Tamandua tetradactyla: one gene and its partners. The protein of the gene in region 1 interacts with the protein of each later gene in a pairwise test. Links are inferred from orthologs where the notes say so. Each region holds a gene or a part of one and is shown on either strand. Other genes may lie near its edges. The genes, in order: UBQLN1, TRIM23 and SRGN.

What was found.
Region 2: the proteins of UBQLN1 (region 1) and TRIM23 interact in binary tests that used the Homo sapiens proteins (3 or more experiments, as listed by UniProt). The link is inferred for Tamandua tetradactyla from reciprocal best matches to the Homo sapiens genes UBQLN1 and TRIM23.
Region 3: the proteins of UBQLN1 (region 1) and SRGN interact in binary tests that used the Homo sapiens proteins (3 or more experiments, as listed by UniProt). The two-hybrid records come from large-scale screens. The link is inferred for Tamandua tetradactyla from reciprocal best matches to the Homo sapiens genes UBQLN1 and SRGN.

What each region holds. Positions count from the first base shown.
Region 1 is NC_135328.1:116,705,494-116,713,325, reverse strand, and holds the start of UBQLN1 (ubiquilin-1), read right to left. Parts: upstream 5,351-7,832; 5' UTR 5,262-5,350; coding exon 5,082-5,261; exon of another isoform or gene 4,793-5,081; intron 1-4,792. Other genes in the region: uncharacterized protein LOC143673720, read left to right, coding at 5,351-5,726, 6,057-6,112. UniProt on the Homo sapiens protein: Plays an important role in the regulation of different protein degradation mechanisms and pathways including ubiquitin-proteasome system (UPS), autophagy and endoplasmic reticulum-associated protein degradation (ERAD) pathway.
Region 2 is NC_135335.1:113,427,493-113,435,324, forward strand, and holds the start of TRIM23 (E3 ubiquitin-protein ligase TRIM23), read right to left. Parts: upstream 5,700-7,832; 5' UTR 5,624-5,699; coding exon 5,543-5,623; intron 1-5,542. Other genes in the region: TRAPPC13 (trafficking protein particle complex subunit 13), read left to right, coding at 6,324-6,369.
Region 3 is NC_135339.1:28,093,961-28,101,792, reverse strand, and holds the start of SRGN (serglycin), read left to right. Parts: upstream 1-3,320; 5' UTR 3,321-3,446; coding exon 3,447-3,522; intron 3,523-7,832. UniProt on the Homo sapiens protein: Plays a role in formation of mast cell secretory granules and mediates storage of various compounds in secretory vesicles. Required for storage of some proteases in both connective tissue and mucosal mast cells and for storage of granzyme B in T-lymphocytes.

The DNA of each region.
Region 1 (7,832 bases):
AGATGAAAGATGAAGGCAAAATGTTAAAATTGTGGGATCTGAGGATAAGGAAGGTGGGGTATGCTGGAGTTCTCTGCATTGGGCTTGTATTACTTTTGTAACTATTCAGTAAATTTAAAATTATTTCAAGGTAAAAAATTTTAAAACCATTACATATTAATATAATCAACACTCTTACAAAAAGAAACTATTTTCCTAGTAAGAAGAGCAGTAACTGTTTTACATTTTTGCAAACTGTTTTACTTTTGTAATAAGACAGCTGGATTTTCAGATGGATTTCTGCATTCAATCTGCTGCAATAGCACACACATCTGTGGTAGCCCCAAGAAATGTGCACTGTTCACTTCTGAAAGAATTAAGGGTCAAAAGCACAAATGGCATCTCAGAATTATTATGAAAATAGTTCTGATCTCATGGTCCCTTTAAAGAGTCTTGGAGACCCCGAGACCACATAGAGAACTGCAACTCAAGTGATAAAAGGCCAGGCAATCATAAGGAAATATCATTTCACACTCACTAGGATAGCTATAACCAAAAAGACAGATGATGAGTGTTAGAGAGGATGTGGGAATACTGGAATCCTCATACACTGCTGGTATGAATGTAAACTGATCCAGTTGTTTTGAAAAATAGGTTAGCAATTCCTAAAAAAGTTAAACATAGAGTTCCCATACAACCCAGCATTTCCACTCCTAGGTATACATTCAAGAAGTGAAAATATATGTCTACACAAAATCTTGCACATGAATGTTCACAGCATCTTTATTCATAACAGCCAAAAAGTGGGAACCACCCAAATATCAACTGATGAATATAAAAATAAAATGCAGGATTACATCCATATAGTGGAATATTATTCAGCACTAAAAAGGAAGCATTAATACATGGCACAACATGGATGAACCTTGAAAACATTACACTAAGTGAAAGAAGATATCATAAAGGACAATAAATGCTATTATTCAATTCATAACAAATGTCCAGAAAAGGCAACACTACAGAGACAAATTAAATGACTGGTAATTGCCTAGGACTGGGGCTGCTGGGTGAAGGATGCCTATGGAAGAAATGGGGGCCAACTGTTAAAGGGTACTATATTTCTTTTCGGAGTGACAAGAATGTTCTAAAATCAATGGCTGCACAACTAAAAAAAAAAAACTGTATTGTATACTTTAAACAGGTACAGTGTATACTATGTGAGTATATCTCAAAAAAGCTGTTTTTTAAAATTGGCAAGCAATCTGCTAATCAGAATCACTAAATAAGAATTTCTCAGCAGCCTAGTATTACAGTAAAGCAAATAAAACACTGATCTCAGACACTCTTTCCTTAAATGTTTTACAACAACTGATTCATTCCAATCTTCTGGATAAGGGCCCGTGCAATAGAGATATAATGCAAGTCACATATTTAATATTAAACTTTCAAGTAGCCACATTGAAAAAGTAAAAAGAAATAGATCAAATTAATGTTCATTATTTTTTATTAAATGTAATATGTCTAAAATATTATCACTTCAATATATAACACATTTAAAACTTAATAAGATATTTCAAGATATTTCACATTGTTTTATTCATAGCAAGTTTACAAAATGTGGAGTATATTTTACACCTATAGCACATCTAAATTCAATTCCATCTAGCCACATACATATTAAGTGCCCAGTATCTGTATATTACTGGTAATACCAAAGTAGACAGTAAAGTTCTTTCTAGATCAACAAAACAGATTTTAACTTTAAATGATGTTTGTGAGACACTGTAACTGCCCTTATGGAAGAAAGGTTCAATCAGATTTAATACAGTACTTATACTTTGTCTAAGTACAGTAATATTTTTTCAAGAATTTCAAGTGACAGAGGTTTTCTAAGGCTGTATTTTATATCTAAAATATAGCTTGCCTCAATATTTCATGTAATTGTATCTCAAAACTTTACACTATAATCTAGAGGGCTAAAAAGTCCAAAAACATACTAATTGGAGGTTATACAGAAGCTCCCCCTCCATTCTCTGCACCAACTTTCATCACACACACACCATTTCGTTTGTTGACATTATGAATTCTCAAAGCTGCTTCTAATAGCAAATAATGATTAACAGAAAAACAATCTGATACACAGGGACTTTGTGCCATTACATTTATCTGCTTACTTGTATTATGAAAATTCCTATTAACGAAACTACCTTTAAACATGTGTGGTACACTTTATATTTTAATTTTAAACTTCAGGAAGTCATATTTCAAAAGTCCCTTTACAGAGAAATTTAAAAGTTACTCAATGATTGAGTGCTCAGTGAAAAATAAATTTCACTTTAATACCGAAAAAAGCGATAAGCTTTATTATCAATTTTCAACAAGTAACATTTATTAAATACCAACTGTACATGGCACTACATACAATTAAGGTAACCTGTTTCTACTTGTTGGTTATACAAACATAAACTAAGAGAAAAATAGGAAATAAGTTATCAACTTACAACTTCTTTCCTACAATTTACCTAAGTTTTATATTACCTTAGTATGATATATTTAAAAATTTACATTACATAGAAACCTGTACCGAAAGATTTTAAATTGTAGAAAAGATTTGCCCAATAGAAAGCAAAAGACATCGATATTAAGCTTTGAGAGACTCTGGCTTACCCACCTCCCCGACAAGACAAAATAATTTTCAGAACCAAATATTTCCCAATTTTCTACTGAACATTTTAATGGACTCCTAATGTCTTTAGGTATTTTTAAATGACAATTTTTAATTAGACAAATAGTTTAAATCTATAAAATGCTTTTAAAAAACCTTCAAATTACAGGTCTTCTCTTACGCTCCAAGTAGCTTTTTAAAAAGAAATAGAGCATCTGAAAACTGCTCTTCTTATACCTGCACATTTCCTTATATATATGCTTCCCTTAAAAGAGTCCTTACTTATTTCAACCCATCTTCAAGTTCTTAAGGATCAAAGTGGTGAACTTCACTTTTTACCATTTTTCTGCTTCAAAAGAAAGCACTTGGTAAAAAAAAAAAAAAAAAAATTAACTGCCATCAGAAAAGTGACTTTAGAAAGGTTTTAACTTTATTAAAAATTTGCTTTGGTTACAGGGAGGTTAAAAAAAAAACTTCATAGAATTTAGAATTCTAACTCCACCATTACAAAAATTAAAAACAGGGCAGTGCAACGTGGCTCAGTGGCAGAATTCTCACCTGCCATGCCGGAGACCCTGAGTCCAGATGCCTGCCCATGCTCCGACCCACCCCCCCCCCCGAAAAAAAAGCAAAAACATCCTTACATACACATCATAAATTGACCTAAATGAATTTTTCTACTTAGAAATGGATAAATAAATTACAGCATAGTCATATAATGGAAAACAACAGCAATGAGAAGGAACCACTGATAACACAAAAATGAATCTCAAAGGGTACATACCATATGATCATATTTATATCAAGTTCTAAAACAAGTAAAACTAAACGACGGTGAAAAAAAATCTCAACAGTGGTTGATGGAAGGGGAGAGTGAACAGAGCAGGAAAAAGGAGGAAGGAATTTCATGGTCAATAATTATGTTCTACATCTTAATAGGAGTCTGGATTACAGAGGTGTATGCACCTGTCAAAATGTATGGAATGTAACGCCCTTTTATGATTAACTGCATGTCAAATTTAGTTAAAGAAATACATGTAAAAAATACAGAACTCAAGTTAATCATATGTACATTGCTGAAGTACTTTTTCGGGGGATATGTACTGATACTTGCAACATACTTGGAAAAGCATCCAAAAAATAAGATGGGCCAATAAATGATTTAGATATGTGATAGAACAAATATAGCAAAACGTTCATTGTAAGAGATGGACATATGGGTGTCAGACATATGATTCTTTCAACTTTTGTGTGTGCTGGAAAGTACAAATTGTTGAAAATTCCCATATGAGCACTGTGAGATTTAAAAAAAAAGTGTGGTTCAGATAGTGATAAAAGTTTCTCAGTTGATGTTACTACCTACACTGTTTTGCCTCACAGACCACAACACTTTATGGAACGAAATAAACCAATAGTGCAATCCTGTACTTTCCACCCAGAAGCTGCTTATAGGCAAATCTCAAGAATTGTTTTCCTTCATTAACTGTTCACACTGAGATAGAGACGAATTCAATTAAGAAAAATATCGAGGATATACCCGACAATGAACTAAAACAATTTGAATTTCATCGATTCTTAAAATGTCTGCAAAATCTGTATTCTTGTACAGACTTTAAGAAGTAAATTTGGCAATATTTCCCATTAACTTCAATTTTATTTTCTTTTATCCAACGCAATTGCCAAAATCTGAGTAACGCCGCTAACAAATAAACTTATCCCAGAATAGCATCTAAGACATGATAAATATACTAAAAAGAAAACAGTAACTCATCAATGAATGAAAGTCACTCACTTTTTTCCTTAAGACTAATACTATTGAGATGCTGCTGGAAACAATTTATACGTCACAGCCAGTATTTTAAAAAAAGATTGGAAGGTGGGAAAGATTTCAGCAGCCAAATCTCAGAACCAAACATGCACGTGCTCCTTACCCAGACCCAAACCTACCTTAAGCCCGGAGGCAGCAAAAACCACAAAGCACTCCCAGCGCCCCCCCACCCCTTTTTTAATTCAAGAAAAAAAACTAGAGTCAGGAGTTATAACCCTCGCCTCCGCCCAGCCTCCACCCCGCTCGAAGCCAGGCGGCGGGTCCCTTCCCTTTGTGAGGAGCTGGAGGGGAGGCGGCTGGGGGCGGGGAGCGAGAGGGGAGGAGGCTGTGGGTCTGTGGACGCAGGAGGAAAGCGCCGAGGGAAGCGGCGTCCGCGCGTCCCACAAACAGGCCGCGCGACCCCGCCACAAACCTCTGTGGCATCCCAAAGCGCAAACCCGCGGACATAGGTGTGCTCTCGTTTGGGATGAAGCCAAGGAGAATGGCCGAGAGCACTTCCTGGGACGACCCTCTCTTCAGGCCCCTCGAAAACCGTCTCCTCCGACGGAGGCTACAAGTCCTGCCGCCACCCCCACTCCTGCTCCGGCCCGAGCCCCAGGCGGCCCTCACCTGCTGGACGGAGCTATTTTCGGGCACGGCGAATTCCTCCTTTTCCTTCGGAGTCTTCACCGTGACTTTCATGATCTTAGGCTCCGGGGAAGCAGCGGTCGTGGGAGTGCCGGTGCCTTCCGCCGCAGCGGCGTTGTCCTGCGAGCCCGGAGGGCCGCCGCTTTCACCACTCTCGGCCATGGCGGCTGTGACTCAGGCGAGCAAGGAGGGAGCGGGCGAGCGATGTGGAGCCAGGAGACGCCGCAGCCGACCGGCCCGAGCAGCGGATAATGCGGAACCCACCGCCTCAAAGGCAACCGGCGCAGAGCCGCCCTAGCGGGCGAGGAACCACGGAGCTCTGTGTGAGCTCCGACTCAGACCCGGGACGCACCTCAGCAGCTGTGGTGTGTTCAGACGCCGCTAGTTCGCAGCGATATCGGCAGCCGCCGCCGCTTCCTCCTCCCCGCCCCTCCCCCTACGTCCCTCCTCCTTCCTACGCCAACGCCGCGCGGGGCACATTGGGAAACGCAGCTGGCGGCGGCGCCGAGTCATTCTGGGCAGTCGCTGTTGCGACTTCCAGGTGCTTTTCTCTTTTTCTCACATTCCATGGCCCCAAATATAAACGTGTCAGGAGTGGAAGACTAACAGCAAAGTGGTATGTGTTAGGTCAGCTCATTTTTTTTTCACTTTCACAAAAAAATAAAAACGCGGGCTCTGAAAGGCGCTGTAAGGGCACACGAAAATGACGTCACGGGCTGCGAAGTTACTAGAAAGGGAACTTGACCAGTGGCGTTGCGGCCGCGGGTGCGCGTGCGTGAGGGCAGTCCGGGGAGCGTTCCCACTCTCTTACTTCATGTTTCCTTGGTTTACCGCACCGCATGTTGCCTTTTATTATATGCTTCGGGTTTCCCGCAAGGAGATATTTGTAGTTATTTTAATTTGCTAAATTTTTTTATACCTGGAAGACTTGAACTCCGTGATCTTATTGCCTTGTAGGAGGGAGTAGAAAGGTCCCCGTCATAACGAAAGAAAAACGGAGTAAACGCCTGTAAGCAACCTGCGCAATCCAGCGGAGTCATGGCTCCACGCCTAAAGCATCCTGCTTTGACGTCAGCCAGGTATGGTCAGAGGATCATACCACTTCTATTGACAAAGTGACTTTTGCTCCCGCTCTGACAGTGCTACACGAGCGCACTGAATTCTCCGTAAACACTATTCCCCAAAATGTTTGGGGCAAAACAGAATGCCCAAGGAATGCCCACTCAACTGGGACAGTTTAACGGAGCTGAGGTATTCATTTTATAGTTCTCTAGCAAGTTGTTACATTTCATACTTTTCGGTGGTTTTTATGGTAGATCAAAAATAATTTTCAGTGTAATTTAGGTACAAATAATAGGAAATTTTGTTCCTGAAAACCCTAAACTTGAAGTGATGGCATCATTTACCCTTAAAGATGATTTACGAGTATACAATACAGTGCATAAACTTTAGTAATCAGTACTGCACAATCGTAAACTCTCTGTGACCCAAATATGCAAAAAATACATCCTGCATTTCTGTTCTTGAGCCAGCAGTCCTATTATGGGAATAAGTACTGTTGCATAAGGATAGTTTTATAGTGGAGCCCATTTGGTTATAAGAGAAGTTCTGAAAGTACAAATTGCCGTACAGACATTATCTGATAAAAGCTAAATTTCTGGCAGCATTGTTGTTACGTGCAGAAATTACACAAGACCTGAGAAGGAGACGCATGACTACTTAACTATGTCCAGGTATGAGTTAATCACGACTTCTCAAGGTAGAAAGTTCCACCATTGGACAGCGAATCATTTGGAACTTCTTCCATATATTTAAACAAAATATCTTCCCAACTTTATTAGCTCCTCATTGCCTAGTTTTTCCTGCCTCTGCTGTATCTTGCCTGTATCTTTTGTCTGGACTGTCTCCTTTGCCTGGAATGACTCCCCTTTTCTTCATCTTCGTAACTTCTGCTCATCATCCTATGTCATATTCTCCAGGAAGAATTTACCTCTTACCACTTACATATTAGGTGTCCTTTTTGGTGCCCCAAATGAATAACCGTGTGTAAATTTCTAACCTTGCACTTAAGAAATTGCTTCGTAATTGTTGACACATTTATTTCTTAAAATTCTAAGACATATGGCACATTTTATGAAGTAATATTTTATCTGTATGAAAATACAATATAGTTATCTATCATAATCAAGTGTCGGTAAACTCTTTCTGTAAAGGGCCAAATAGTAAATATCTTAGGCTTTGTGGGTCATATGATCTCTTTCTCAAGTTCTGAACTCTGCCGTTGTAGCACAAAAGCAACCGTAAATGAATAAGCATGGCTGTATTCCAGTAAAACTTTACTTATAAAAACAGTGTGCTGACTCCTGGTGTAGATGTCTAGTTAAAGCATTTTCTTCTAAATGGGTTTTGTTTATTAAATAGTCAATATGGAGAAAAATTGTAAGAGCGTATTTTATTCATTGTACAAATGTGAATTGAGTACAAACTCTCAAATACTGTTGAATATCCAAAGACAAATAAGAAGCAGTCTCTACCCTTAAGTATTATTATGGGTGGGGAGATAGGCAGTGGTGTACTAGTACTAAATGTCTATTATGAAATGTTTAGTAACTGACTCTGAGAAACAAACAAGCCTTGATTTGTAGTGTTTGCCAATTTCCTTATGGAAAATACAACATGGCCAATGTCAGTCTACCAACTTGAGCTCCGCTGGCTCACAAAATTCTGGAAATT
Region 2 (7,832 bases), on another chromosome or scaffold:
AACCATACCAATCAATCCTATTCCCAATTCTGCTGATCAGGCCCCTATCCTATTACTTTATTGCCAAGTCCTTTAGAACCTATGCTCTAATTTTATCAAACAGCTTTTAGTTCCCAGAACATGGCAAACTGTTTCATGCCTCTTTCTTTATGCTAAATCTCAGAAATGCTACACAGACATTTTCCTAGTGGATTCTTTTTTACTTTTAATAAGCCAGCCAACTCCTAAATAACTTTGTATCTCAGGTGTACCCACAGCTCAGCCCAACTAAAAATAATCACTCTTTTCTTTGGGTCCTCATGTACTATGGATCACTACAATATTTCAAACAGTTTAGTGCCATTATATTGGCTTTACAGCCTGTCCTTCTCTGCTCAACCAGACAGCCCTCAGAAACAGGGTCTCTGAAATACAAATACAAAAGTACCTAGTATGTGCCCACATAAATAAAGTCTTCTAATAAATAAAAATTTAAAAACAATTTGGCTAGAACCACCTCTATGCACCCCAACACACATACAAGCAAAGTAAAAAAAAAGAATATCCTGACTAAATCCATTAACATTTTAAACTTAACTCTACAATTAACTTGGCCTTACTCTTTGAAATCAATCATCCTTCATTGTAAATTGACAATTCATGGTTGCCTGGCATCTCAGTATGGGTCAAAAAAGTCTAAATACCAACACATAGTTCACAGAAAAGGAAATGAAAATACTCTTTAAATATATGAAAGACATTCAATAAGAAAAATGGAAGTTAAAACTACACCAAGATATCTTTTTTCAGGTTAGATCAAAAAGGCTGATAACACGTTGTGTTGGTGAAAGTGCGGGAAGCAGACACTCATACACTGCTGGTTGCTATGAAATATTCATTCATTGATGCAGTCTCTATTGAAGGCAATTTGGCTATATATATATATCAGAAGTTTAAATAATTCAGTAATTTCAATTCCAGGAATTTAACTGCAAATACATCTTGCCTGTGACAAGGCCTCTATACGAGGTTATTCCCCATAACATTTTTTTTTTTTTTTCACACGGGCAGGCACCAGAAAGTGAACCCGGTCTCTTGCATGGCGGGCAAGAACTCTGCCAGTGAACCACCTCGGCCTGCCCTCCTTATAACAGTTTTGTATTAGCAAAAGAATAGAAACAACTTAAATACACATGGATATAACTATGCAGTCTAATGAGGAAGAGTTAGATGTTCTTTATGTACATGTACAGAACGATTTCCACATGAATAAAGCAAAGTAAAAATCCGTATACAGAATATATTTAATTTGTGTAAGGTGCAGGAGAGAGAGCATAAATACTTAAGTCTTTCTAGAAGAATACATAGAAAAGTTTGGCTCCATATGAGGAAGGGATATGAGTAGCTGGGGAAGGGCTACCCATAAAATTATACATATTATACATATACACTTCAATTTATCTTACATTTAAAAAAAAGAGGACAAAAAGTTTACTTAAACATCTATCTATTCCCACTCAAACTGAATTAAATACAGGAAAGATATTCACAATAGAACTAGGTATTATGAAATAAAAGTAACAAGTTTTATAAATATTTTCATTTATTGTGATATAAATCAAACTGATCTATGACAATAGACTACAAAGAAATAAATAAAAATTTTACTTAGTTCATTTATACTTAACTAATATCTTACATATCTGACCTCATCAATAAACAAGATAAAAAAAATTATGTTGCTACCATAATTTTTTCAAAAAACATGAATAAAATTCCATTACTTAGAAAACCAAACACAGGTCCAAAAACAAGATTACTAGACTATTTGTATCAATTTGATAAATAGCAGAGCAAGAAATCCTTTCTTCAGTATTTATAAATAGGAATTATGGCTAACAGCATAAGAAATTAGGTCCTAGATATAAAAAAAAATCTACTAATTTTATAAATCAATAAACTTCACGAACATGCTAAAGAGGGCTATCAACAGGTAAATAAAATTTTCATAAACCAGACCAGACTTTAAAAGTACTAAGAAGGTTGTTGTTCAGATGTGTCCTCTCTCTCCAAGCCAATCCAGCAGGTGAACTCACTGTCCACCCCCCTACACAGGACATGATTCCCAGGGATGTAAATCTCCTGGCAACGTGGGACATGACTCCAGGGATACACCAGGACCCAGCATTATGGGATTGAGAAAGTCTTCTTGATCAAAAGGGAAAAGACAAAGAAAAGTTTCAGTGGCTGAGAGATTTCAAAAAGAGTCAAGAGTTTATCAAGTTTATCCTGCATTATATAGATATCTCTTTTAAATTTATGATGTATTGGAGTGGCTAGATAGAAGTACCTGAAACTGCTGAACTGCGTTCCAGTTGCTTTAATTCTTGAAGACGACTGTATAACTATATAGCTTTTACAATGTGACCATGTGATTATGAAAACCTTGTGTCTGATGCTCCTTTTAACCAGGATATGGACAGATGAATTTAAAAAATAAGAAAATAAGGAAATAAATAAATAACATGGGGGATAAAGGGTAAAAAAATTGGGGTAGATTGAAATACCAATGGTCAGTAAGAGGGAGAGGTAAGGGGTATGAGATGCATACGTTTTTTCCTTTTTCTTTTTATTTCTTTTTCTGGAGAAATGCAAAAGTTCTAAAAATGATCATGGTAATGAATAAGGAACTATGTGATGATATTGTGAGCCAATGATTGTGTACTATGGATGGACTGTATACGTGTGAAGATTTCTCAGTACAAATATCTTAAAAAATAAATAAAAAGTACTAAGAAGGATCATTAATCAAAATAAACTTTCTGGGATTTCTTTTTAATGTAAATTATTTAATTTTAATGTCTTTGTTTTAACTCTATCATTGTCAACTTGTTCATTAAGCAAGAAACCATATTAAATATAAGAGAAAAATCATAAAAGTCTTGGAAAAAACATAAGGGAAAGCTTTCATGACCTTGGATTTGGGAACAATTTCTTAGACGTGACATCAAAAATATGAACAACAACAACGAAATAAACTGAATTTCATCAAAATTAAAACATTTGTACATTAACACATTATCAAGAAATTAAAATGAACCTGTAGACTGGGAGAAAATAATTGCCAATCACATATCTGCTGCTACAACTCAACAACAAAAAGACAACCAACCCAATCAAAATATGAACAAAGGACGTAAACAGATATTTCTCCAAAGAAGATATATAAAAGGACAAGTAGCACATAAAAGGATGCTCAACATCATTAGTCACCAGTGAAAAGAAAATCAAAACCACAACTACTTCACACAAACTAGGATGTTTATTACTTGAAGAGAAAATAAAAATTGGTGAGGATATGGCGAAATTAGAATACTTATACATTGTTGGTAGGACTTTAAAATAGTGTACTCTCTGCGGCCAAGACTGGGGGTTCCTCAAAAAGTTAAACATAAAATTAACATTATAACCCAGCAATTCCAGTCCAATGGATACCCCAAAACAACTTACAGAAGGACTCAAAATTGAAATCAGAGACCACAACCGCATTATTTACAATCGCCAAGAAGTGGAAACAACCCCAGGGTCCATCGACAGATGAGTGGGTAAACATGACATATAAGTACAACAAACTATTGTTCAACCATATAACGGAATGAAATTCTACATGTATTTGCTACAACCTGGATAAACCTTGAAAGTATTATGTTGAGTGAAACAAGCAGACACAAGGAGCAAAGATAGAATTCCATTTACATGCAATATCTTGAATAAGCAAATTCATAGAGACAGAAAGTAGATCAAAGGTTGCTGGGGCTAAGGAAAGAAAGAATGTGTAAAACGTTTCTGTTTGGAGTGGGAGAAAAGTTTGGGTAATGAATGAATGCGATGGTAGCACATGAATTTAATTAATACTAGTACAGTATAACTTAAAAATGGCTAAAATGGGAACTTCTGTGTTATATATACTATCACAATAAAAAAAAGACTAAAAAAAGCCATGTTATATATTATTAGTATTTTACGCTTGACCTTTAATGTATTAATGTATTAAGTATTAATGAATACTTCTTACATTCATCTATGAAAATGATAAAAAGATTTTTAAATTCATAGCACCATATTTGTTTAGGAATTGTGGCATGACCATCTTGCCAAAAAGGTCTACTTCGTGCATGGGACCAATATATTTTACATTTAAAGAACAAAATGAATAAAATAAGACTCTAAGAAATTCAATTTGTGCTATAACAAACTGGAGTTATATCAGACTATAGTATACTTTTGATATTATAACAGGATAACAAAAATAGAGCAATGATACCCATTTCAGTTATAGTATAAAATTTCTTAAAGTTGATTCTCAAAATAATCTGCAGGTATGCCCTCAGAAAAAGCACAATAAATAAAATCTCAACCATACAATATGCCTAGTAATAATATCTACATCTCGGTTATGCTGTGTACCTTCAGAATAACTTCATTAGTATATAACAGTTACATAAATCATCAACTACTAAAACTGATTAATGCTAAACTGTGGCCAGAAATGCATCATTTACTGTCATAAAAAAAACATTAGGTGAAAAATCACAGGTATCATTCAAGACCTTAAAATAACTTCAGATATTATCTGGCCCAGTGGTTCTCAACCCTGGTTGCAATTACAATCTCCTCAGCGGGTTTTAAAAAGATGCTAATAACAAATGAATCAGCATTGGGGAAGGAGGATTGCATCTGCAGCTGTTAAAAACTCTTCCGTGATTCTAATACGCAGCCAGGGATGAGAAATACCAATTCCTTAGATTTCAGGTGATCCTGAAGGTCTCTCTAACAGCCACTGAAATCAAGTCTTCAATTCCATATATAGATAGATAGATACATGCCAAGAGGAAAAATGAGTCCCACGTATTTCAGGCGGATTTTTAACAAAGGCATTTTGGACTACTTACATACACACCGTAATTCACAAACACTAGCGTTAAGGCCGTGCAACGCTGCAACTGGAGACTCCTTAAGCGCGGACGGACGGCACTACCAAGTGCGGAGGAGGCAGTTCAACCAAGAATAGACACCGCAGTACAGAACCAGTGCAGCGGGGAGACGTGCACACTTCAGAAGCCGCCAACCCTGGCTCTACCGCACACTGCCACCTACCCCAAATCAAATCCTCATCTGTAAAACGGGGATCAACATCGGCCTCACAGATATTAACGACCGAAAGCACCTAACACTACCTCACAATATCCCAATTTAATAAACAATAAGCGAACTAATGCCTGTTACGGTAAGCCAAAACCCGGGCACAGGCAGCTCGGGTCACTCCCACAATCTCCTTTTCAGAAACGTCCCCGCTGGCGACGTCCAGCACAGGGCCGGTCCGAGCAGGAGACCAGACAATCTCGGGCCAGCGGACCTCGGGTCGCGAAGAGCAGCGCACGGCTCGGCACGCCCGGGGGGCGCAGAGGCCCCGCACCCTTCCCTTCCACGCCTGGGCCAGGCTTTCGGGACGAGCCCCGAGAAACGGAGGCCGACGGTGGACAGAGCACGCCAGGTCCCTCACCTTCACCACGGCCGTCCCTCGGCTGCCCTGCCGGCCGCTGTCTAGACCTGCGCCGGGCTTGTTTACAACCAGGGCAGCCATCCTGGGCGCAGCGGAGCGGCAGAAGCAGCCTTCACGGGCTTCAACGCGGCGGCGAAGGCGAGCCACCTACCCAGACGCCTCGGCGACCGCGGCCGGCGTGGGGCGCGGGACGACGCTGCGCGCGCCCGGCCGGCGGCCGCGGACCGGTTCTCCGCGCGCCGCGTTTTGTTCGCTCTGTTTTTATTGTTTGACTGGTATTAAGGAATGTGCACCTGCTAGGGGAAAGAAAGTCAAGAAAAAAGGATGGGATAAGACAGAAGTAAAATCTGTGAGTGAAACTTGCGCTTTTGTAAAGAAGTCTCGTCCCCACTGCCAGACCGGGCGCAGGAACTACATTCCCCTAAATGCAATGCGGCATTATAAGAACTACAAATCCCAGCATGCCGCGCCTCGCTGCTTACTCGCTGGGGAGGGCATCTGGGCGGCGGTGTATGGTTACCTGGAAGTGGTTTGATATGCGGTTGTAGCCTGAATATGGAGAAGTATTTCATGTATAGATATCTAAGAGACAGGGATTACCTTTGGTGAAAAGAAGCTGTTGGAGCCCTAAAGAACGGGGTAGAGGGAGAATTTAAGGCACCGCTGGCTGAGAAGCTGTTAGAAGTGTTTGACGCGCGGGCTTCCCGAGCGCGCGCTTCCGTGTTTTCTTCTGGGCCGGGCTGAACCTCTGCGGCCCCCGTAGGCGGTGGTACCGGTCAAGATGGAGGTGAATCCCCCCAAACAGGAGCACCTGCTGGCGTTGAAGGGTAAAGTATTGCTAACTTGACGCCCCTTATTCTATTTTTGTTTGTTTGTTTCCTTTTTCTCACTGATTCTTGAAGCCTTTGACATGTAGACTTGGCGTCTGAGGTGTAGTCCTCGCCTTTCTTAAAACGGCGTCAGGGCTGTGCCTCCTGCTCTGCGCCAAGGGACCGAGCGGGAGGAAGCGATTTCGCTTCTTCGCTTTTTAGGCTTGAGAGCCGCCCTCTAGAATGGAATGACACCTCGTACATTACCCTCTCTGATCATGCCCGTGCGATCATCAAGCAGAATTTAACCGCAGAACCTGCTGTATGGACTCTGTTTGGTGATTTCCCCCTTGAACGAGGGTGATTTACAGCGTGCATCCAAAGTGCTTTTCATAGTCTCAGGTCTCTTCGTGTGGCACTGACAGAGTTACCGGGCTGCAGCTTCTTCTGTAAAATTAGTGTAGTATTATGACAACAGTGCCAAGGATTTAGAAATACACAGTATTACACCATATAGCTGAGGTTTGTTAAAACTTACTTTATTTCAAAGCATTATGTATAGGGGAAATAGGTCCAAGATCTCATGTCAATTTTCTATTTTTGTACACCTAAAAACAATTTTTGAGTAAGTTTAACGATTTAATTAGGTCATTATTTAAGAGAAAAAACAGCAGGAATTTAAGGTTTTCCTGGAATTCCTATTGGTTTCTGAAGACCTTTTATTTGAAGTGTTTCCGGCCTTAATTCATGTTTTTTACTATCACAAATGCACTTTTTATTTTTAAGATGCTCTAATATGTGGATACATTTTTGGATTGAGCTACACAAGTGCTCAATGGGCATTTTAATTCATTTGACTTGTACTTATCTTCCTTATGGCATCCATTTTGAGGGATCATAACAGGCATTCCCCTGTTATGCTGCAGTCAACAAACATTCCAGAAGCTCACCAGTTCCATTGGTAACATAGGGAGTTAATGGAACCCTCTAACTGTTGAAGTAAGGAAGCTCTGCAATGGTAAATAACATAGTGATGTAACCTGTAAGCTTAGCCTGAGCAAATGATATGGACTGGAATGGGATATAGGTGGAGAAAAGGGAAAAGAGAAAAAGGAACCAATTGTCGTGTTCTTTATCTCTTAATCTCACAAATCATATGCTGAGTATCTTTATCAAGATCACAAAGCTGCTAAGTGACTGAGCCAGTATTTCAACACAAGGTGGGTTCCCAGTTTCCAAGATACTGTGTTGCCTCCTAAATTAAGAAATAGTATTTTCAGAGATTATTGCCTTACCCATTACTTGGATGCAACACTGAAACAAGCCTATTAGCTTTTGAGTGGATTTTATAAAAATTAGGAGCTGTTAAATACAGTTGAAATTCACCAATATAGAGGCTAACTGCCATTGGGAACTTTTAGGTTTCTGTTATTCTTGTATTTTCCAGAACAGGAAATATCTGGAAAAGAGTATTCAAGCAG
Region 3 (7,832 bases), on another chromosome or scaffold:
TAGCTGCTTCTTTGGGACCAGAAGCATCAGTACATTTTTGTCTTTGTCACAGTCTCTTCACTTCAGTTGGGGATGAGAGTAGGATTGAAAGAATGGGAAACTTGAAAGTACCTGAAAGCCAAGGCCAAGGATAAATAAGTTGCTTTTTAAATAAACTAGACTTTTGTTGTTGGTTTTGCAAGTTCCCTTTTTTTTTTTTTTTTGAACATGGGCAGGCACCGAGAAACGAACCCGGGTCCTCTGGCATGGCAGGCAAGCATTCTTACCTGCTGAGCCACCGTGGCCCGTCCGCAAGTTCCCATTTTTAAATTAAGAGATGGTTTCTTGTTTGTATAGATTCCAAAGAAGACAATACCTTTTTTTAATCTTTTTTTTTAAACATGGGCAGGCACTGGAAACTGAACCCAGGTCTCTAGCATGGCAGGTGAGAACTCCGCCTGCTGAGCCACCGTGGCCCACCCACCTGAGATAATACCTTTTTAAAAGGATGATTTTTAAAAACTTTCATTGAAATTCTCAAACATGTATAAAAGCAGGGAGAATACTATAATGAACTTGCATTTATCCATTTGCTCAGCTTCAGCAATTATCAACCCACCACTCATCCCCTCTCCTTAAACCGGATTATTTTGGAGCAAATCCCAGTCATCTAATCATTTCAAACATAGTCTTAGCTTCTCAGTTGTTAAATAAATACCAAATGATGGGTTGGCTTAAACAAAGTTTTAAGGCTAGGAGAAGTCTAAAATCGAGGCATCAGCAAGACAATGCTTTATCTCCAAAGACTGGCGCTCTGGGCCTGGCCGCTAGAGATCCTTGGTTCTTGGCTCTTCTGTCACATGGCAGTGGACATGACTCTTTTGTCCAATTTCCTTTGTGAGATGAACTTTAGCCATATTGGATTAAGGCCCATACTCATTCAGTTTGGGCACACCTTAACTGATAGCATCTTCTAAGGTCCTCTTTACAAATGGCTTCACATGCGCAGGACCAAAGTTGGAATATTAACCTGCCTTTTGTGGGGAACATGATTTAATCCCCAATACTACCTTAGGTGTGTCTAAAAGGAAATGATTAAATGGAAGACTTTTGATTGTTTAAAATTTTGTACCCCCTTCATTCCTCTCTTTTATTCAGTGGCTTATAAATTAAGAAACTTGAGTTCTCGTCTTGGTTTTGCCATTCACTAGCTGTTCTGTGTGACCAGGGGCAAGTCATGTAACTTTTCTGGACTTGGGTTGTTTCCCATGAATAGGAAAACTAGATGATTTCTAAGTTCTAGATCTAAAATTTTTTGCAAGGATTGTCTTTTAGGCTTAAGGGACAGATTTGGTACAAGTTCAATCTGCTTTTTTTTTTTTTTTTTTTTGGTGCAATGCCCAGTTCAGATTGAAGACCTTCTGAATAAAGAGCCAAGAAAAAGTCCTAGAGGGAGTTTCCTGGTAGAATCTTTCACTTGGGCCTTTAGAAAAAGAAGTGAGCCTTGAAGCCATCCCTGGAGCAGCTGTCTGCTCCCCTCCATCTCTCTTCTGAAAACCTCAATTCATCTTAACAAATATTCTGCTGAAGTGAGACGCTGGGAAGGTTCATGCTCTCTACACAGATTCACCGTTTACAAAGAACACTCTGAAACCAAAAGCTAGTGAAAAGCGATGTTGATAACTCCTTTTTGGTGGTTATATTACTTTCTTAGACAATGAGGAACTCATTTCTGCCATGTTGCAGGGTGATTGTTAAGGAATAAGGTTATACATTTTACAGGCAAGTCAGTTGAATGTGAAGTCAAGTAGGTGCATTTAAGGTTGCCTGGCATGTGATGGGTTAATTCTGGAATAGATTTGGTCTTTCAAATTTATGGAAAACAAGCTTTTAGAGAATGGAGAAAACTTTGGGCAAGAAGCTGATATGCAGCCTGGAGGAGCGCTGACCACTGCACCCTCGCCCTGGTTTCTCCCACCCTTGTTAGCACAGTGGAAGTGTGAAAAGTTAGGCGGCCGGCCTCACCCAGCTGGTAAGTAAGGGAAACAGGCTCCGACCCAGGACTCCTGGTTGCTGGTGTGCATTTGTTCTGCTCCTCTGTGCTTGAGAAAGAACGAAGGAAATGAGCCTGGAGGGAGTGTTCTTAGAAAAAGAAACATTTGTCATTGTGGTGGAAGAAGGGCAAATGCTTATGAATACTGCAAAGTTTGGTTGTTTTTTTTTAAATCACCAAGACTGAAGAAAGGGAAAATGAAGTATCCAAATGGGAAAAGCCCCCCTCCCCCCACCCCTACCCCCAGTTACCATTTTGAAGCACAAGCTTTAATAGCTCTAAGAGTTTACTAGGGTACTTATTGAAGCTTATTGACAGGAACTATTGTTTTGGTGCCTAGGTTTTCAATCGGGGGTTAGAATGAAAAGTAACTGAAGACGTTATATATCAGGTGGAAACCGATATTCCAGAGAGGGGAGTTCGCTGGGCTTGTGAGTTGGGGGTTGCTGCACTCTGAGGAGTCCCGGGATTGCGGGATACACTTATGCATGGTTCTGGGAAGGCTTATGAGGAGGGTTAAAATGTGCATTCTTTGCCTCCTTCCACAGCTACTCAGTGATAAGATTCTGAGGCCTGTCCTTAGCAGGAAATGGTAAAGGAAGTCTAAAACAAGAGAAGGGAAACTCCTCCCTCCTATCAAAGAACAGGCAAGAGTGTGGAGGAAAATGGAAAGTGATGCATATGTACTAAACTGTCTGGGGGAGCTGGAGGGACAGATGGGACTGAAATAAAAAGTGACAGAATACTGAAAGGAAGTAAGAAGAAAGTGTGTCCCCAAGTGATAAACTGTTGTATTTATCGTGTTCATTAATATGGAGTCTGTACCGGGTAATCCTGGGGGACAAGGCTGTTTCTTTATTTGAGGGGTGGGGGTGTGTCTTCTGAAGCCCAGCAGCTTGGTTCAGTGAGCTGTGCTCCTCTTTGATGAGAAAGAAAATCGAGAACATTTTCTGTTGAAGGTGCTCAGTGATGAAGAGTTGGTTAGCTCCTTATCTCATCAATAGGCAGTAGAGTCTTCATGTTAGCAATCTCCTGTGTAGGTTGTGACCTGAAGAAAGCAAAAACAAACTGCCCTGAATGCTGATTCTACTGTTTCGGTGGGGAAAAAAATTTTAACAGGCAAGTGGCAAACAACAGAACTTTTGAAAAAACCGACCTGGGGAGAGTCCAGTACAGTTTCATAATGGGTATGAATAGTTGTTTTGCTGCTGCTGCTTTTTTTTTTTTTTTTTCTTTTCTTTCTAGATTTTCATGTGGATCTCTTTTTATTTGTTCAGGAAATCGTGACGTGCGTTCTGGGCAGGGTTTGAGGTTTCGGAACCTTGTCTAAAAGGGACAGCAAGCACTCTGCTTACGGTTCCTGGTCGTGGGGTGGCTGTGCTTCGGCGGGGCCAAGCGTGCTGTGCTGGTCACCATGCGGGGCTTCCTCTCCAGCAGCGGGCTTGTCCTGGCCATCTCCCTCGTCCTGTTTTGGGAATCTTCAGTTCAAGGTAAGATCCAGGATTGGCTGTTTTTCTTTGTGAACTCTAGCCCCCATATAAATGTTTATATTCACACTAACGTACAGAATTTTTCATATTGTGAGAACGTAAGTGGGGTTTGGGGTGGCTGATCTCCTTGGAGTGAGTTCAGCTAAGTTTGGTACCAAGAAAAATTAAAATTCTGAATGAAGCAGGTGCAGCCTTTTGAGGTCTTGCAATGGCTGAGCTTTATTTGGGGATGGAAATGTGTGGCTTATAAAAAAGCTTAAGAAAGGAAGATAGAAAATATCCCATGTGTCTGTTGTAAGGAAAAGACGGCATCTTTGAGTGTTTTTGGAGTATCTATATACCTACCCCTGAGTTTCTATATCAATTCCGAATTGTACTGCATAGTGGTGATGTCATTTATTTTAACACTGGGAACTACTATTTCTTAATAGGGGTGAGTTTGGCTTTTTCTCCTTTCAATTTTAACTTAATTCTTAGTGAAAAATCACCTATGGTTATACATACATAATTAATGCAAACTCTCTCAAATTTCAAATAATTTTAATATTTGCTCTGGTGCTTAGAGAAATATCACATTTGGAAATTTCTTTTTAAGTTTAGAGTTACTTAGGCAGAATCTACTTAAAAACCTTCAATGACCAAGAAAACAAAAATGGTCAATTTGTAAGAAGAATATAATTTCTTCTCTGTAAACAAGGGATCATGTCTAAGTAAGGCAGAAGGTTGTGGTCTGCTACATAGATGGCAGAATTTATAGTAGAAAAACATTAAGTTCCCCCAAGATGTAAAGGAAATGTTGAGTCACAGTGACACACATGCCCAGGATTTTTTTCTTTGAAGTAACTTCTAGTTGTCATGTTCTTACTTCCGCTGGAAATGAAATCTTGTAGATGATTTCAGATATACATTCATTATATATTAGAAGCTTTAATTCAGTAAGTAATGTTACTGAAACTTTTCCATTAATTTGTATATATATATTTAAAATATAAAACTTTGTCAATTGTAGGGAACAGGCTTTATTTGTATCTTTTGGGAGACATTTTCAGCTTTTTTGATGAAAAAATTTCCTAGAACCATGTGCTCTAGACAAGATCAAGAACAGTGGGATTCCCCTATGAAACGTATTCCTGAAAGGACAGGTTAAGCCTACTTAAAATTAGGCCTGTCACCCCCCAGAGAACCTCTTTTGTTGCTCTGATGTGGCCTCTCTCTCTAAGCCGACATAGCAGGTGAACTCACTGCCCTGCCCACCACACACAGGGCATGACTCCCAGGGGTTTGGATCTCCCTGACTACGGGGGACAGAAATCCTAGAATGAGCTGGGACTCAGCATCAAGGGATTAAGAAAACCTTCTCGACCAAAAGGGGGAAGAGTGAAATGAGACAAAATAAAGTGTTAGTGGCTGTGAGATTTCAAATAGTCAAGAGGTTATCCTGGAGGTTATTCTTTTTTTTTTCTCTCTCTCTTTTTAAAATTTTTATTAATAAAACCAGTCAACATACAATATGAACATTCTTTTTTTCATCACATAGTTGTATATTCATCATCATGATCATTTCTTAAAACATTGCATCAATTCAGAAAAAGAAATAAAAAGAAAACAGAAAAAAAATTCATACATACCATACTCCTTACCCCTCTCTTTCACTGATCACTAGTATTTCAAACTAAATTTATTTTAACATTTGTTCCCCCTGTTATTTATTTTTATTCCACATGTTCTACTCGTCTGTTGACAAGGTAGATAAAAGGAGCATCAGACACAAGGTTTTCACAATCACACAGTCCCATTGCGAAGGCTACATCATTTGGGCGCACAGGTGGTTCAGTGGTAGAATGCTCGCCTTTCATGGAGGTTATTTTTATGCATTTTATAGATATCCCTTTTTAGTTAATGGTGTATTAGAGTGGATGGAGGAAGCACCTGAACTGTAGAGCGGTGTTCCAGCAGCCTTGTTGCTTGAAACAAAAAATGTTCCTTATGTTTCATTATAAATAAAGATGAAAAAAGAAACCAAAGCAATATGAAATTGTATAAAATACTGGCATTTATATCATCGCTTGGTAGATTTAGATTTTTGTTGGAAAAGAAAACTGAAAAAGAGGCAATAAATGAGCTGAAGAACTAGGGAGGTTCCAAAGGAGAAGCTTCCTTCGTGCTGTACTGACAGGTGCCACCATCTGAATGCTAAAAGGAACAGATGCCCACAGCTGCCTGTAGGAGCCACAGCAACACACAGCGACAACGCCAAGAGCCATGCCATTTCATCATACATCCTCGAGGCGCCAAACATGATTTGACGATTCTTCCTCAACTTTTTAAAAACAATTCTACTCAACCCGTTGATTTGGCTGAACTGATCATATTAATGAGGCTTATGGGAAGGCACTGGGAAATGAACTCTGGTCTCCAGCATGGCAGGCAAGAATTCTGTCTGCTGAGCCACCGTGGCCTGCCCGTAATTTGCTTTTACTGAGCATATTCAAAGCGTCTTATGTCACTGTAAGGCAATCCTAAGTAATAACCTGGGGCAAAACCCCGTCTACCTGTTGCAAAGTCAAATACAAGTGTGGCAATGTGTGTGAGACCCGGGAGAGCATAGGTGTCTATTTAATTTAGAGCTCAGAGGAGTATTGATAAGGCTGTAAGTCTTAAACTCTAATTGAAGTTCTTTTCTTCAAAGATGAACATAAAGAGAGAAAATGGAAAAATCTATGATTGCAGCCTCAGGACTCAGGGCCAGACCAAGTGTCCACCCGACTTGTCTCCTAGGTCACAGTGCTGTTAGTAATTCCCTACACAGGCCGCGATGTCTGCAAAGTGACCACATCCTTGCTTGGGGATGATCATCACATTCCCTGCAAGGAGGAATTTAGCACCAATTTATGGACAAGAGAACTGGTTGCTACACCCATCATTTCATTTCTTCTTTATATTAATCTCATGCAAAAAGTTTAAGAGACTTGCCTAAGGCACCCAACAGTTACTTAATGGCAGAGTTAAGGAACTTTCCGGCTGCAATTTGGCCTTCCCTAGACAAAAAACAAAAAGCTTTCCTTTGACAATAGCCCTGCCTGTGATGTTTACCCGTGAGTTGAGGGATAGTAGGGAGAAATTGAAAATAGATTTCCACTCTTTTTATAATTTTGTCAAACTGTGCAAATGTTGGGGAGTCTTATCTACTTTTAGGCAAGTAGGTAGCAACTAAGCTATGATGCTGTTCTTTACATGCTACTGTTATGAATGAATCAAAAACGGTCTTTCTTTAGGATTGCAGTTTCTGCTTAAATTTCTCTGTTATGCGTGCAGTAATTCTTCCTTAAGGTAAGAAAATTAGTAAATTGGCACTATGGGGAAAATTTGGTACTACAATATAAAAAGATAAAGAGACTACTGGGGAAAGCTGTTTGCCCCGGTGACATTTCCTTATAAAAAGTATTTTGGTAAAACAGAACTAGTGACCTTTGGGGGTGTGTGTGTGTGTGGGAGGGGGGCATTGAGAATAGGGATTCTCATTAAAAATCATTCTTTCCCCTGGAATCCACCACAAAATTAACCAGCATGTGCTATAAACGGGACCTTTCTGTCCAAGAGCATACTTCCTTTTTATTTTTAAAATTAGGATAATCATAAGACATTTTCCTCAAGCAAGGTGGAGTCAAGATATTCTCACATTAACAGACAGTGCCCGTTGGTGAATTTTCACATGCTGGCCACTCTTCTCAAATAAATATCTCAGGAATTTTGTGTTTTAAAGAACATTTAAAACCCTTAGTCCCAAATTAGGCTTTCTCGCTTTTATTTCTTTATGTTTTAAAAGCTGAGATTCTGAACTCTGGGGGGATTTTGTATTTTAGAAAAAAAAATTTTTTTAAAGCATACTCTACCAAAACTATATTTGTTGTACAAATGGAGAGATGTGGTCTTTTGCCTGGATGCTTCTTCATAAAGTATCAGTTTTAGTCTTCTGTTTCACTTCTTACCCAAGCAAAAATTTCTGCTGCCTGATATTCAGTTAAGCAGCAGCCTGCAGAGGACTGTCTAGCCCTGCGCTGTCCATTCAAGGTGGCCACCAGCCGCGGGTGGCTCTGGAGACTTGAAAGGTGGCAAGTCCAAACTGAGATGTGCCTTAAGTGCAAAGTATACACCAGATTTTGAAGATGGAGTATGAAGAAAAGATGTAAAATAGCCCATTAATAACTTTTCTATTGATTATGGTAAAATGGTAATGGTATGAATATATCAGGTTAAATAAAATACAGTGAAGTCAAATTTTTTTTAGAAGCAACTACTAGAACATTTAG